Elephas maximus indicus: one gene and its partner. The protein of the gene in region 1 purifies or fractionates together with the protein of each later gene. This does not show direct contact. Links are inferred from orthologs where the notes say so. Each region holds a gene or a part of one and is shown in the gene's direction. Other genes may lie near its edges.

Region 1 (7,338 bases):
TGCCTTAAAAAAGTTACTAATGTTAACTACAATCTATGGAAATAAGACCACGATACCAACTTTGCTTTTTTCCCCAAAGGCAGTGGGAGTCAGACTGTTGCAATGATCAAGTGTACAACTGGCTGTGTAGTGTTGGGGGTAGTGTGGTGTTGGAAATCAAACTGTTTTTATTAATGAAAGGCTGGAAACAGATACCAAGAAAAGGAGGACAGATTAATTTAAAGCTGCTGCAGGGAATCACCTTCACTACCTGTAATGGTCTGCATTGAATAGGGTGCCTCCTGAGGAAATGTTTCTACTGCTGACAATGGCTAGGGCAGCAGCTATTGCATGGTTTCTTTTCTGGACTCCTCCAAGTAACTATGGTCCCAGCGTACTAACCTCTGGGTTTCCAAAGAGAAGCTTTGCATCTGAAGGGCTTCTATTTTCTCCACAAAAACTAGCTAGCCCACGACAGCTGTATTTCAGGTGGCACTCCGAAGAATTTTAGCACAGAACCAACAACAGCTTTCCTACGGAAGATGCTTACCTACTACATAACCATGCTTTTTCAAGAGATTAAGTTGATTTTGTTCTTGCTCTGTAAGATCTTCTTCAGCTTTTCTTGCATCTTTTTTAAGCCTCTTTTGCCTTTCAAACATTCTATAAGGCGTTGGGTTGCAAATAGGAAACTTCAGAAGGTTTAATGTAGTACCTAAAATACCAAAGAATAAGTGGGCTTTTATAAATGCTGTACCAAAAAAAAAAAAAAGAAACGCGCGGGGCGGGGAACGACTAACATTTTTGAAGAGTTACACTGTGTTGGATACCGTGATTTATCTCACTTAAGCTTTGTGATAACCCTCTATAAAATTATTCCCATTTTACAGATGAAAAAACAGGCTCAGATTGGCTCAGGATTTGAATCCAAAATTTGCAGATCTGATTTCTTTCCATATTCACCATGCATAGAAGCACTTTCCTGTATAATTCAACCAAAGTTCAAAGCAGAAAGAAAACCAAAGACACAAAGAAAATATTAGCCCAAAAGATCAATGGACCAAATGAACCACACACAGCCTCCACTAGCCTGAGCTCAGAACTAGATGGTGCCGGGTTACCACCACCAGCCACTCTGACAGAGATCACAATAGCGTCCTGGACAGAGCAAGAGAAAAATGTAGGACAAAATTCAAGTTCACACAAAAAAGACCAGACTTACTGGTCTCACAGAGACTGGAGGAGCCCCCGAGACTATGGCCCCCAGAAACCCTGCTAACTCAGAACTGAAGCCACTTCCGAACTCCAACTTCCAGACAAAGATTAGACAGGCCTAAATAACAATTTTTTTTTTGTTCAATCAAGTATACCAGACCAAATGGGCAACTAGTGCCCAAAAGCAAGATGAGAAGGCAGAAAAGGATGGGAAAACTGGACAAATGGACACAGGGAACCCGGGGTGGAAAGGGGGAGTATGCTGTCACATTGTGGGGACTACAACCAACATTACAAAATGATTTGTGTATAAATTTTTGAATGAGAAATTAATTTGTGCTGTAAACCCTCACCTAAAGCACAATACAACAAAACAAAACCAAAACAATAAAGTTCAAGGCCGAGAAAGAAAAAAGCTTGCCAAAGCTCAATTCTAGTTTCAAAGGAAAAACTGGGACAGTTAGTACCCACAAAAGATTAAACCAAAAAAACAAACAAAAAAACTCCACCAAACCTGTTGCCTTTTCAGTCGATTCTGACTCATAGTGACCCTATTGCCAACTGTTAAATACTAACAGGGTCACGTTGTTGTTACGTGCCTTCAAGTAGGTTCCGACTCATAGCGACCCCACAGGAGAACTGCCCCATAGGGTTTCCAAGGAGCGGCTGGTAGATTTGAACTGCCAACCCTTCGACTAGTGGCCTAGCTCTTATCCATTGCGCCACGAGGCCTCCAACAGGCTCATAGAATGACCCATTTTTCGATTACAGAAACTTCTTAAAGCCACAAAATCGACATTTCTTCTAGACAGAGCCACACATCATATTGCTTCACTGAATTTTTCAAAATGTGAAATGTGTGTATAGCACACTTCACATTTGTATGAATAAACTCAAGATATGAGAAGTAGGACTGAAGGGTGTAAGTTCAGAGCATAAAAGGAAACATAACGTTTCAGAGAAACACACAAAGAAGTTACAAGGGAAACCTCCAAGACAGCAGGAACTTTGTATCTCCAGTGCCTAGAACAGTGACCGGCACATAGAAACGCTCCATAAATAGTTCTATTACAAAATTACTACAATGCATACAGATTGTCCAAGCACTAAGATGACTCAGAAAAGAGACCTGTGACCAAAGTTGGGAAAGAATTTCTAAAGGGAAAACTGTAAGCACCTCCTGGTGGACATTACAAATGCTGTACTAGACGCCTGGGGTCACGACCAGAAGTCCAACTTCTCAAAAACCGAAAGGGGCGAGCCTCGTACGGCTCACCTGGCCAGGTGGAGATGGTGGCCCTGTCGATGGCCTCGGCGCCCTTGGCGATGCAGTAGTCGGATTCTAGGAGTGTGTTGAAGAGAGTGGACTTGCCGGCGTTGGTGGCGCCCACCAGGTAGACGTCACCACGGTAGCGCCAGGAGCGCTGAAGCGCGGAGATCAACTCTTCGACCCCGTAACCGGTTTTGGCGCTTATCAGCCGCACGTCCCTGAGTACCGTGCGGGGCTTGGCCGACGGATTCGGATTTTCCTCCGGGTCCCCAGGGCCGTCTCCGCCGGGGCCCTGTGGCCCTCGGTACCTACGAGGCGGCAGGAGGCCGGCGCGGGCACAGTCGTTCCACAGCCGCTCCCGGAGCCGGCGCCGGTAGCCGGGGGCGTCCTGGGGCAGCAGGTCCACCTTGTTCCCCAGCACGATCAGTTGTTTGGGGCCCACCAGCGCCGGCAGGTCGGGCAGCAGGGCGTCGGGCAGGTCGAGCAGGTCCACCATGTAGAGCACCAGTGCGGGACCCGGCCGTCGGAGCGCGGAGCTCACGAGCTCCCGGTACTGCTCGCGGCTCACCTGCACGCGCAGAGCGCGCCGGTGGTGCACCAGCAGCCAGCAGCGCTGGCACACGGTCCGCGCCAGCCCGCCGTCGGCCTGCGCCGCGGCGCTGAGGAACTTCTCGCTGGGCAGGTAGCCGGGCACGTCGGGGTTCTGGCAGTGCAGCTCCGCCCCGCAGCCTGAGCAGTTCACGCCGCTGGGCGGCACCGCCGCGTCTGGGTGCCCTACGATCGGGTGCACCCGGCGGCTGACCCGTAGCTTCTGCTGGCGTCGCTCCTCCCGCCGCTGCTGCTTCTCTCGCTCCTCCTCCTCCTGCCGCTGCAGCTGCTGCTGCAGCTCCTCTTCGGGGGTCGGCGCGGGCTCCGGCTCCGCGACGTACTCAGGGAACAGAAATTGCTCCTCCATGTCAGTCCTTCCTCCGTAGCCCCCAGTCGCCGTCGGGCCATAAGAAAGCCCACGTCCCAGGCCGGAGGGGTGCTGGAAGGAGTAGGCGGCCGCGTATCCTCTCTCGAGCAGCGGCTCCCGGAGGCCATGGCGCACTACCACAGGAGCTGAGGCCCGCAACAACGAGAGGAACAACTCACGGGTTAGGCGTGCGGGCAGCATGAGAAACGCGGCACCTGGGCAAAAGGGCGGAGCCACCTCCGCACATGCGCACTCGGGACCGAGGCGCGAGGCAAACGCGAGTCGAAAACCCCGGGGTGTCTGGGAGCTATCATTCTGGCTCCTCCTCCCGTTTTGAATTCCGTGAGTTCTCGCGATTGGAAGGCTTTGAGGCCACGAATCTGGGACCTAAATACTCACTTAGCTGCCACAAGAGGATAGTGCATGCTTTGAACTATTCAGATTCCTTCAACGCTCCACCGCTAGCATACCCTGCTCTTAATAAATTACATTTTAAAAGCTTGCGTGTTTTTTGGTCTTCAGAAGTGCAGAAAATAAAACGAGTGTCGCAGAAGCAGGGCCGCAACGAAAGCCTTTTATTAATAACACTTTTTAAATTAATACACCTTGGCTAAAAAAAAAAATCATTATTTGCGCAACAACACTCAGAGTGTGCACACAATAAAAAAAAACCTGCACTGGCCGAATACCCTCAAACAGTACGAGGAGTTCTAGCGAACAGCCACTAGAGGCGTCGTGTCAGAATTTGCGCGTGCGTAAAGCCAACCCTAGCCAACATGCTCTATCATTTGCGCAAGCGCAGTTCTAATATTTGCTTCTTTGTGGGTGGCTTTTTTTGGTGTTTTTTTTTTTTTTTTTGGTGTAAGACGCACAGTATTCTGGGAACGCCGGAGACGGAAATTACTTCGACGCGCTCTCCGGGAGCTGGCGGCTGCTTCGCTCTTTTCTGTCTCTCTAGATTTCAAGAGCTAGGCGCTCCGGTACCTTTTGCCAATATGTATGACGCGGACGAGGGTAGGTGACCACTCAAATCTCACTCCGCGGCGACCCAGTTAGGGTGGGGAATTTGGGTAACTGGACGGATTGAGGATTTGTGGCCGACCCCCGCCAGCCGCACAAGTGTCCCCGGTTGTGGTCCTCGCATACTACAGGCCGAGAACGAAGCCAGGTTGCGAGAGGTGGAGGGTGCAGGGAACGTGACGTTGAAGTTCCTAGTCAAATGACTGTTATTCTCTTCTCCCTCTCTATTCTCTATCCTGTTAATTGTGCTATTTACCTGCGGTATTGCAAAAACGTACAGAACCGTAAGACAAATATGGTTGTTTTGACTTGATCTGAAGCAAAGTGCTCTTTTCTTGATTTCCCTTAGGGCCACAGTTAGTGGTTTTATCGACTAGTTCAATTAATGAGCGTCACCCTTGTGCCAGGCATTGTGCTGTTGTTGTCATTAGGTGCCGTGAGGGTCTTCCTCTTTTTTGCTGACCCTCTACCAAGCATGATGTACTTCAGGGACTGGTCCCTTGTTTTAACATGTCCAAGGTACATGAGGCGAAGTCTCACCATCCTCGTTTCTAAGGAGCATTCCGGCTGTACTTACTCCGAGTCAGATTTGTTCCAACTTCTGGCAGTCCGTGGTATATTCAGTATTCTTCGCCAATACCGTAGTTCAAAGGCATCAGTTCTTCTTGGGTCTTCATTCATTGTCGAGCTTTCACATGCATACTTGATGGAAAATACCGTGGCTTGGATCAGCCGCATCTTAGTCCTCAAGGTGACAGCTTTGCTTTTAAATACTTTAAAGAGGTCTTTTGCAGCAGATTAGTACAGTACGTCGTTTGATTTCTTGACTGCTGCTTCCATGTGCATTGATTCTGGATCCATGTAAAATGAACTCCGTGACTTCAGTATTTTTTCTGTTTATCATGATGTTGTTTATTGGTACAGTTGTGAGGATTTTTGTTTTCTTTGTATCGAGGTGTAATCTATACTGAAGGCTGTGGTCTTTGACCTTCACCAGTAAAGTGCTTCAAATCCTCTTCACTTTCAGAAAGCAAGGTTGTGTCATCCGCATATCGCAGCTTGTTAGTGAGTCTTCCACCAATCCTGATGCCACTTTCCTCTTCATATAATCCAGCGTTTCAGATTGTTTGCTCAGCATACATATTGAATGAGTATGATGAAAGGATACAACCCTGACGCACACCTTTCTTGACTTTAAACCACCCAGTATCCCCTTGTTCTGTTCTAACGACTGCCTCTTGGTCTAAGTACAGGTTCCTCATGAGCACAATAAAGCGTCCTGGAATTCCCATTCTTCACGGTGTTATCCATAATTTGTTATGATGCACACAGTCGAATACCTTTGCACAGTTAATAAAACACAGGTAAACATATTTCTGGTATTGTTTCTGTCAACCAAAATTCCTTTGACTTCAGCAATGGTATTCCTTGTTCCATGTCCTCTTCTGAATCTGGCTTGAATTTCTGACATCGTGCTAGGCCCTGGAAATACACTGGAGAAGGGGTTGATCTAGTTTGGCATTCCTCATGCTGTCTTAAGTCTAAGCAAATTGTCTTAAAAGATGGCTTTTAAACTTACTCTTCCCACAAGGAATTGTAGTAATTGTTCTTGCTTGATAATACGTTTTACTGAACAGGTGGAACGTATCCTTTTTCTTTTTGTATAAAGAATTTTTAATCATGTCTAGTGTATTTTCATGTTGTGTTTTTAAAGCTCCCTCTTCGATTGCCTACAGTTACTATTTCAAACTTCATTCTCCTCCAGCTCCTTATCCTATGGTCACTGCTTGCTTTTCTTGTCATTCTGTTAGCTACTTCACGGAGAAAATAGAAACGGAAAGTTAAAACTCTGCTGTAATGATTCTGTCTGATTCATATCTTTTGTCTAGAAGTTCATCAGCATCTTTACATTTCTTTTTCTTCTTAACTTTATCTCAGAAGAAAATTTTAAAGTTTTAAGTTTTTGAGTAGGTACTGTATTCTCATGGCTCACCAGCTAGAAATTACAAACACTTTAAAGTGCCTGTTCTCATTCTTGTTTACCATCTGTCTACTTTAATCCCTTCCACAAATGAGTAATCACTCTTTTTAGATTCTTACTTATTACTCCAGAATTTCTTTTATGCATATTTAAGCAAATACAAATGAGATTCTGTGGGGCAGCTTTGTTCAGTCCTGTAGGGTTGCAATGAGTCAGAATTGACTCAACATAACAGGTTTTTATTTTTCCCCCTTTTACAAATAGAAGCTAATATTCACACTTCTCTGCACTTTTATTTTTTGCTTAATAAATTTAGGAGATTTTCTATTAGTATATAGAAAGCCTCGTTTTTCTACCATAGTTAACCTAGTTTGTATGGATATCTGTAACTTAATTAGGTAGTGTCTTGTTGATGGACATTGGTTATTTCCAGTCTTTTTCTAGTTCAAACAGTGGTTCATAATCTTGTACATATGTTTTTTTTCCCACGTACAAGTATGTCTCGAATAAATTCCTGGGTATAGAATTGTTGGTTCAAATGTTAGACACATTTAACATTTTGATAGATGGTGCTAAGTGACCGCCAAGGTAATTGTACAATTTTACATTCTTATTAGCGATGTATAATAATAATGCCTGTGGAAAAAGAGTTAAAGTTATCATGTTCATGAATGCTCTAGGATTGAGTACATTCCATTCACGTCTGTGCCCTTTGAAATCTGTTAGACACCATCTTATCAGTTTTCAGACACTACTTTTCATCTGGTTTCTGTGTAAAATATTAGATGTCATTCACAGGATACACCATTCACAGTTAAACCCTCTTTTCACTGTTTTCTTTTTTTTTCTCCCGGTATTTTTGTCTTCCTCTTTCCATTCATAGCCACGCTTACTAAAAGGAACAGGCTCTGCATGTTT
Region 2 (7,336 bases), on another chromosome or scaffold:
TCCCTGAATAACCGTCTGAATCTGGAAAGGGCTATGTGTCAGTTCTTCGGATTATCTGCCAGGACGCACAGCGAGGGTCTTTCCTTGCTGGGGCTGTCCCCCGACAGATGGGCATATGGGGTGGGAAGTTGAAAGGGGTGGAAGAGATTAGAGTGTAGAGAGGAGAAGGGGAAGAATTGAAAGGTATTAAAAACAAAACAAAACCTGTTGCTGTTGAATTAGCTCTCACTTATGGAGACCCCATGTGTTTTAGAGTAGAATTACACTTCATAATGTTTTCAATGGCTGTGATCTTTCAGAAGTTAATCACTAGGCCTTTCTTTCAAGTCACCTCTGGGTAGATTTTCCAACTGCCAACTTTCATTTAGTAGCCAAGTGCTTAACCATTTGTGGCAACTGGAAACTGAAAGGTATTTAGGCTCTAGGATTTAGTGACTTGTTGGGTTGAGGGAAAAAGAACAGCCCAGCATGAATGTGTAACTTCCAGGTTGGGCGACTAGGAATGAAAACAGGAAGAGTGGGTTGGGGAGGGAAATATAAATGAGTACAATTTGGGGCATGTTCAACCTGAGAAGCCTTTGAGATACTGGATAGTAAGGGCCTACTCAGTATAATTCTAGCCCCAGGACAAAGAGCCAAAAGACTCCTTTGCTGAAAAGCCTGGAGAGTTGGTGCCATGGACTTTAAGGTAGGAGAGAGTTTTAGGAAGGAGAAAGTTGTCAACATAGTCAGGTGCAGGAAGGAAGATAAAGACTAAAACCTGTTCCTTGGATTTGAGGCCCTGGAGGAGATTGATGGCTCTGGCAAGAGCGGTGAAGTGGAGTCAAAGAGAGTAGACAATTCTTTTGGAATCTGCTCTCTGAAAATGGAAGAGAGGGTGGAAGCTAGAGGGGGATGTTTAACAGCTTTTTGGAGTTTAACTGACACATTCTTCACTGTACATAGTTAAAGTGTATAACTTGATAAGTCGATTCATTTGACTTATCAAATATATACCCATATAACCATCATCACAATCAAGATAATGAGAACATCCATCCTGCCCAAAAGTTTCCTCCTGTCCTCTTGGACTCCCTCCCCCAACTTCTCCCTGCCACCCCACATCCTGAGGTGATCACCAATCTGCTTTCTGTCACTGTAGATTAGTATTCATTTTAAATAATTTTATATAAATGGAACCATACAGTATACACTCATATTTTTCTGACTTATTTCACTCAATATAATTATTTTGAGATTCATCAAAGTTGGTGCATGTGCCATAGTTTTCCATTGTATGGATAGACCGAAATTGGTTTATCCATTCGCCAGCTGATAGACATTTGGGTTGTTTATATTTTTTGGATATTCCAAATATAGCTACTATGAACATTTATGTACAAGTCTTGGTGTGGACATATGCTTTCATTTCTCCTGGATAAATACCTAGCAAATGAGTGACTGGGTCATATGGTAGATGTTAAGTTTAACTTTTTAAGAAACTGCCAAACTGTTTTCCAAAGTGGTTGCACCATTTTATAGTTCCACCAGCAACGTATAAGAGTTTCAGTTGCTTCACAGCCTTGCCAACACCTGACATCATCAGTCTTTCTGATAAGTGTACAGTAGTATCTCATTGTATTTTTTATGCATATTTTCCTAATGGTTAGTAATGTGGAACACATTATTGTGCTTATTTTTCATCTGAACATTTTCTTTGGTGAAATGTCTGTTCAAATCTTTTATAACCTAATGTTGGAAGTGATATCCCATGACTTCTGCTGTATTCTATTTGTTAGAAGAGAGTAAGGGCAGCCCACACTCAATGGGAAGGGATTACATAAAGGTGGAATCATTGGGAACCATCCTAGAGGCTGCCTACCACAAATGGCTTAGAATAAAATCCCAACTCCATATCTTGATCGACAAAGCCCCATGGGATCTAGCTCCAGCCTTCCACACTGGCCTTCTTTTTCTGCTTTGAGCCAAGATTTATAATTGGCGAGGGGAGAAGGGATAGCCTTCTACAAGGGGAAACTGGCAGGGGACAAAATTCTGTGGCCTGAAAGAAAGGCATCCTTGCCATGGAAACGGTAGCCCAGGATCAGAGTATGGGGGTTCTCTACTGTGGCGGGGGGGGGGGGGGGCAGGGGCAGGGAAAAGACCTCCAGCTGCAACCTAGAGGAGGGATGAGGGAGGCCTTAGAGGAACTTGCCGAGTGACTAGGACCTCATTTGGGGACTTTAATCTGAGTTATTTCTTATTTAGCCACAGCTGGAGCCCTGGTGGCGCAGTGGCTGAGAGCTTGGCTGCTAACCAAAAGGTTGACAGTTCAAATCCACCAGTTGCACCTTGGAAACCCTAAGGGGCAGTTCTACCCTGACCTTTTAGGGTCACTGTAAGTTAACATCAACTCGATGGCAACGGGTTAGGTTTTTTTTTTTTTTTTTTTTTGGAGCGGGTTACTGAAGTTCTTGAAAGCAGGCAATTTCTTTTGATATATTAGTTAATCTGATCAGATGGACTAGATTGGGGTAGATACAGAAAAGTCTGCAACTACACTCCTGGGAGTAGCTCCAGATTTTATCTAGAGTGTTTGTCGGTCTGGTTGGTGGGGAGCTGCTTTGTGTTTATATAGCAACTTACACAATTTTTTTTCCTTTTTATCATTTATATTTGGTTTTTATTAGTTTTTTTTTTTAGTTTTGTTGTGGCTTTAGGTGGAAGTTTACAGCTCAAGTTTGTTTCTCATTCAAAAATTTATACACATATTCTTTTGTGACATTGGATGCAATCCCTGCAATGGTGCCTGACATGGTTTTGAGAAAGCTTCAATTTTCCGTATCAAAGAACAGGAAGAGTGCTGGAGCCCATGGGCATGTTCAAGCCTCCAAAGCCACATCTCCTATGAGGCTTGCAAGCTTCTTACACTTTCTTTCAGGAGACAGCTCTACGAGCTGAACTCTAAAGAGAAAGTGGGAGCTGGGTGTGATGCCTTTTACATTGCCTTCCTCTTCAAACAAACAAAACGATTTTGTTTTGTTTTGTTTTGTTTACCAATTTTATACATTTGGAAATAGGCCTGAAACGAAGAAAAGCATTTCTGAGTTGCATGTTGGAAAGAGCAGCTGAGCATTTGGGTTTGAAATCTGAGGCTATCACTTACTGGTTCTGTGCCCCGGGAATATTCACATCAGGTTTTGTACCTCTGTATTTCCATCAGCAAAATAGTAAGTTGTGAAAGAGAGATTCTCAGCCAGCTGTACACCTCCTACTGACATCCTCAACTCTTGTGAACCTTTGGGAATGGTGGGGTGTTTTGGGTTGTTATGATGACTTGCAAGTGTCATGGCAACTAGTCAGCAGAAGCCAGACACCAAATGGCCTAGAGCAATAACTGGGGAACCTTTCAACTTTAACGTTAACATCTAGGACCTCGCTAAGCCTTAGGGTAGGAGGAATCACACCGTAGGCCAAAAAACCAAACAGGCTGCTGTTGACTCATGATGATCCCAGGTGTTACAGAGTAGAACTCTTCCACAGGGTAATGGAAAGGAGTCCTAGTTGTGCAACGGTTAAGTGCCTGGGTGCTAACTGAAAGGTCAGCAGTTTGCCCTCCTTGGGAGAAAAGGCCTGGTGGTCTGCTCTGTAAAGATTACAGCTTAAGAAACTGTCCTATGGGACAGTTTTACTGTGTCATATAGGATTGCTACGAATCCCAATCACCTCGATGGCACAAAGCGGACTGCCAGGCCTTTCCTCCGTGGTGCCGCTGAGTGCGTTCAAACCAACAACCTTTAGTAGTCCAGCGCAAACGGTCTGCGCCACCCAGCAGTAATGACTGTCTTATGTGTTTCATTTCTCCAGGTTTGAACATAAATTTCATTGCTCAGGGATACCTTCTCTAAGTCCATCCCAATCTCGCTGTCATACTGTGTTACTATTTGGTTTTCTGCCCCCCTCCACGATGCTGTAAATTCCATAAGCGCAGGGGCTTCTCCTGTGAGGCTTGCAGGCTTCTACTTTCGGTGGCGATTTGTTCATTAACATACGCTGGGTAGTGACGTCACGGCGGCACTCAACTACTTTCCGAAGAAATAGATTAAAAAATACGACTAGACGACCCTAAAGAACCTAGAACCTAGCGCCGTCGAATCAATCCCGAAAAACAGGCGCGAAAAAAAGCCCTTCCGGCCGCTGAAGTTAGCCCCGTCACTTCCGCCCTCTCCCGCTCCTCCCGGCGGCCCCTTCGCTCGGTCTGTGTTTGTTTCCGCTGTGTCAATAAAGTTCGATTCGCCTCGAAGAAGCCCCGTTCTTCCGGGAAAATGGCGTCCCCCGCTCGCGCCCCAGAGTCGTCGCCGCCTGCGGATCCGGCGCTAGCGGCGGGGGCTGCCGAGGGAGCCGAGTGCCCGCCGCCTCGCCAGCCGCAGCCCCCGTACAATGTCCTCGCTGGCCCGCGGCTTCGAGCCCCTAGCTCCCGAGGACTGGGGGCGGCGGAGTTTGGCGGAGCTGCGGGAGATGTTGAAGCGCCAGGAGAGACTTTTGCGCAACGAGTAAGCTTGGGTCCCGCCGAACCAACTCCGGGATCCCGCGGTTCGGGCCCCCCGGGAAGCTCCCCTCCCTTTCCTCTCATCCGTTCCTTCTCTGAAGGTGACCTTGCCGAGCCGGCTTCGTGTCAGCCCCGCGGCGATGGACGGCCTGTGGCTGGCCGTCGCGGGGTCTCGATGGTGCTCGCCTGCTGGCCCGCCGTAGCCACTGGGCTGCTCTGGGACGCTCAGCCGGTTGAATTTCCTTAGCTACTGTGGCGGTTCCACGAAGGGTGTGTGCCACAGCCCCATTTATATGCCCCCCTCCCGCATACAGTGCCAAATACGGTGACGGCTCAGCACCATGTCAGTTTCCCTGGCAGACCCTGTTCTTGTGGGAACCGTAGGAAATGGGAAGAGTCGGATATAAAGAGTGGTTTATTAGGCCGAGGAAGTTTGACTCACGTTCGGATTTAACGGGTTTTAGTAGAGGGGTGATATAATAAAAATTAAAAGTGACTTTTTTTTAGGAGTTTAATTTAGTAGCAGGAGGGTTTGAAGGAGTCTGAGGCAGAAGACAGGATATTTTTAGGTGGGTTTCCAACAAGGGGTCGTAAGAACGTGAACTAGGAAGGTGGCTGCGGAGTAATTTGAATAAGTAGTTGACAGAGGTGATTGAAGTTCCCAGCCTGCTGCGAGAGCCATTAACAAAACTAGGGGAATTGGGGAGGGAAATAGGCTCGAGGTTGAATTGGGGCAGGGGAATAGGCCAGAGATTGACTTTTGCTAAGTTTAGGATATGGCAGGATAGACATCGGGCTAATTATGACTACTTAAAAGCTAGAGAAGTGGTTGTTAAACTTAGGGAAGAGAAGGCTGGAAAAAATACAGGAATCTCAACTGCAGAGAGGAGCTCTGGTGGCACAATAGTTAAGAGCTTGGCAGCTGACCAGAAGGTCACTAGCTCCAGTCCACCAGCCACTCCTTGGAAATGCCATGGGGCAGTTTTACTATGCACTAATAGGGGCACCATGGACGCGGACACATAGCAGCTACCACAGAGCTGCAGAGAGGTGCTAATGGTTGACACTATGGGAATGATTGTGTGTCAGAGAAAGACTAGAGGGCCTAAGATGTAATTTTGGTGAGCTTTCTGTCCCCGTTTATTGTGTGGCTATAGAAAAAGAAATCTGAAAAGGGAATTCTGCTACCCAGCAGAGGGGGCAAATAGTTACTTGGGTGTCTTGACTTGGCGAGGTTGGAATTTTATCTGTAGCAGCAAATTGTCTCAACTTTTTGGTCTCAGGGCCCCTTTATACACTTAAAATTATTGAGGATCCAGAAACGCTTTTGTTTATGAGGGTTATGTCGATAAGTATTTATTGATTTATTAGAAATTGCAACTGAGAAATCTTTAAAAACAAGGATATGTAAGCACACATTCCATTGAGCCTCCAGAGCAGTGGTGCCCTACATCAGGGTATCCTCTGGGAAACTCCACTGTACCCATGTGAGAAAAAGTGCGTGAGAAAGGCAGTACTATCTGAGTACTCTTATGAAAGTAGTTTTGACCTCGCAGACCTTTCCCCTTTCTCCCCAAGAGGCTCTTGAGGACCATACTTACAAAACTGTTGATCTGTTGGGACGTCATGTATGATTATTACATGCTTAAATGTGTTTACTAAGTTCTCATTGGATGAGACAAATGAGGCATATTCCTTGTTCTTGTACTGCCTTGATTATTGGGGTGTTTGGATAATGATTACCTTAATTGGTTTCATTCCCGTTTCCGGGCAGTTGAAAATCAGATTTTGATTTAAAAACCAGCTTTTCTCCCTTTGAGGATAATGCTTTGTCGTTTTAATTTTCTCTGAAGTTTGAAAACATGGCTCTAATGTATGCATGTTCTTTTCCATTTGACAGAAAATTCATTTGCAAATTGCCCGACAAAGGTAAAAAGATCTTAGACTCTGTTGCCAAACTGAAAGTGGCCGTTGCAGAACGTGAAGAGTTCAGAGGAAAAAGTCAACTCTTTCATCCTGTTAGGTTAGACTGTACAGTAAGGCAAACAGTGACCGCAGGAGTTGATGTGGACACAGCTAAGGCTCAGAATTCTGACCAGATACTTCATACTTCACCACCAGTTCCTGGCTCCTCCTCTGTAGATAACAGCAAGTCATCTAAAACAGCTTCACCAAAGCAGGGACTTGTACATCTCTTTCACAAAGGCAGTGAAGAGACTGCAGAAGCAGAGGGCATAGTGAACGGGCGCACAGCTCCTAGCAGCGGAGCCAGTGCCGCTTCCTTATCTGAAGCCAGCAAGTGTCTCCCACAGCATCTTGTTTCAAGACAAGCAGAAGATAGTTCCAGCAGCTCCGACAACCTGATTGTTGATAGGTTACAAAGGATCACAATCGCAGACCCAGGGGAGCACCGCTCAAGGGAAAACACAAGTACCGATAACTTGACAGGCCCTCGTAGTGGGGCCCAGAAGAAGCCACATTACATGGAAGTGCTAGAAGTGCGAGCCCAAAACCCAGTGCCCCCACCACATAAATTTAAAACAAATGTGTAAGTACCACTGGAATGGGTCTATCACAGAGCATTTGTTAAAGAACATAGTGTTAGTTAAGACTAAAAAAAAAAAAAAAAAAAAATTCCATGGGCTTTGTGTGAGAGCTGCTTGTACTTAGGAATAAACGTGTTTGGAAAACAACAGCCTGGCTGGAGTGGAGGAATCATGTTAAAAAACACTTAAGTGCTTTAGCCAAATAATTGAAAAGGTTTTAAATGACAGATGGGGGAATATTCAATTTCAGGATACTTAATCA

What was found. Proteins that work in one complex are often made in the same cells at the same time.
Region 2: the proteins of POLR2B (region 1) and POLR2M purify together in Homo sapiens (affinity purification with mass spectrometry; 3 studies listed by BioGRID and IntAct, counting the BioPlex papers as one, with this or other methods). This does not show direct contact. The link is inferred for Elephas maximus indicus from reciprocal best matches to the Homo sapiens genes POLR2B and POLR2M.

Annotation. Positions count from the first base shown.
Region 1 is NC_064823.1:104,050,921-104,058,258, reverse strand, and holds the start of POLR2B (DNA-directed RNA polymerase II subunit RPB2), read left to right. Parts: upstream 1-4,312; 5' UTR 4,313-4,414; coding exon 4,415-4,433; intron 4,434-7,338. Other genes in the region: NOA1 (nitric oxide-associated protein 1), read right to left, coding at 530-694, 2,471-3,620. UniProt on the Homo sapiens protein: Catalytic core component of RNA polymerase II (Pol II), a DNA-dependent RNA polymerase which synthesizes mRNA precursors and many functional non-coding RNAs using the four ribonucleoside triphosphates as substrates.
Region 2 is NC_064831.1:47,823,932-47,831,267, forward strand, and holds the start of POLR2M (protein GRINL1A), read left to right. Parts: upstream 1-4,274; 5' UTR 4,275-4,419; coding exon 4,420-4,532; intron 4,533-6,428; coding exon 6,429-7,076; intron 7,077-7,336.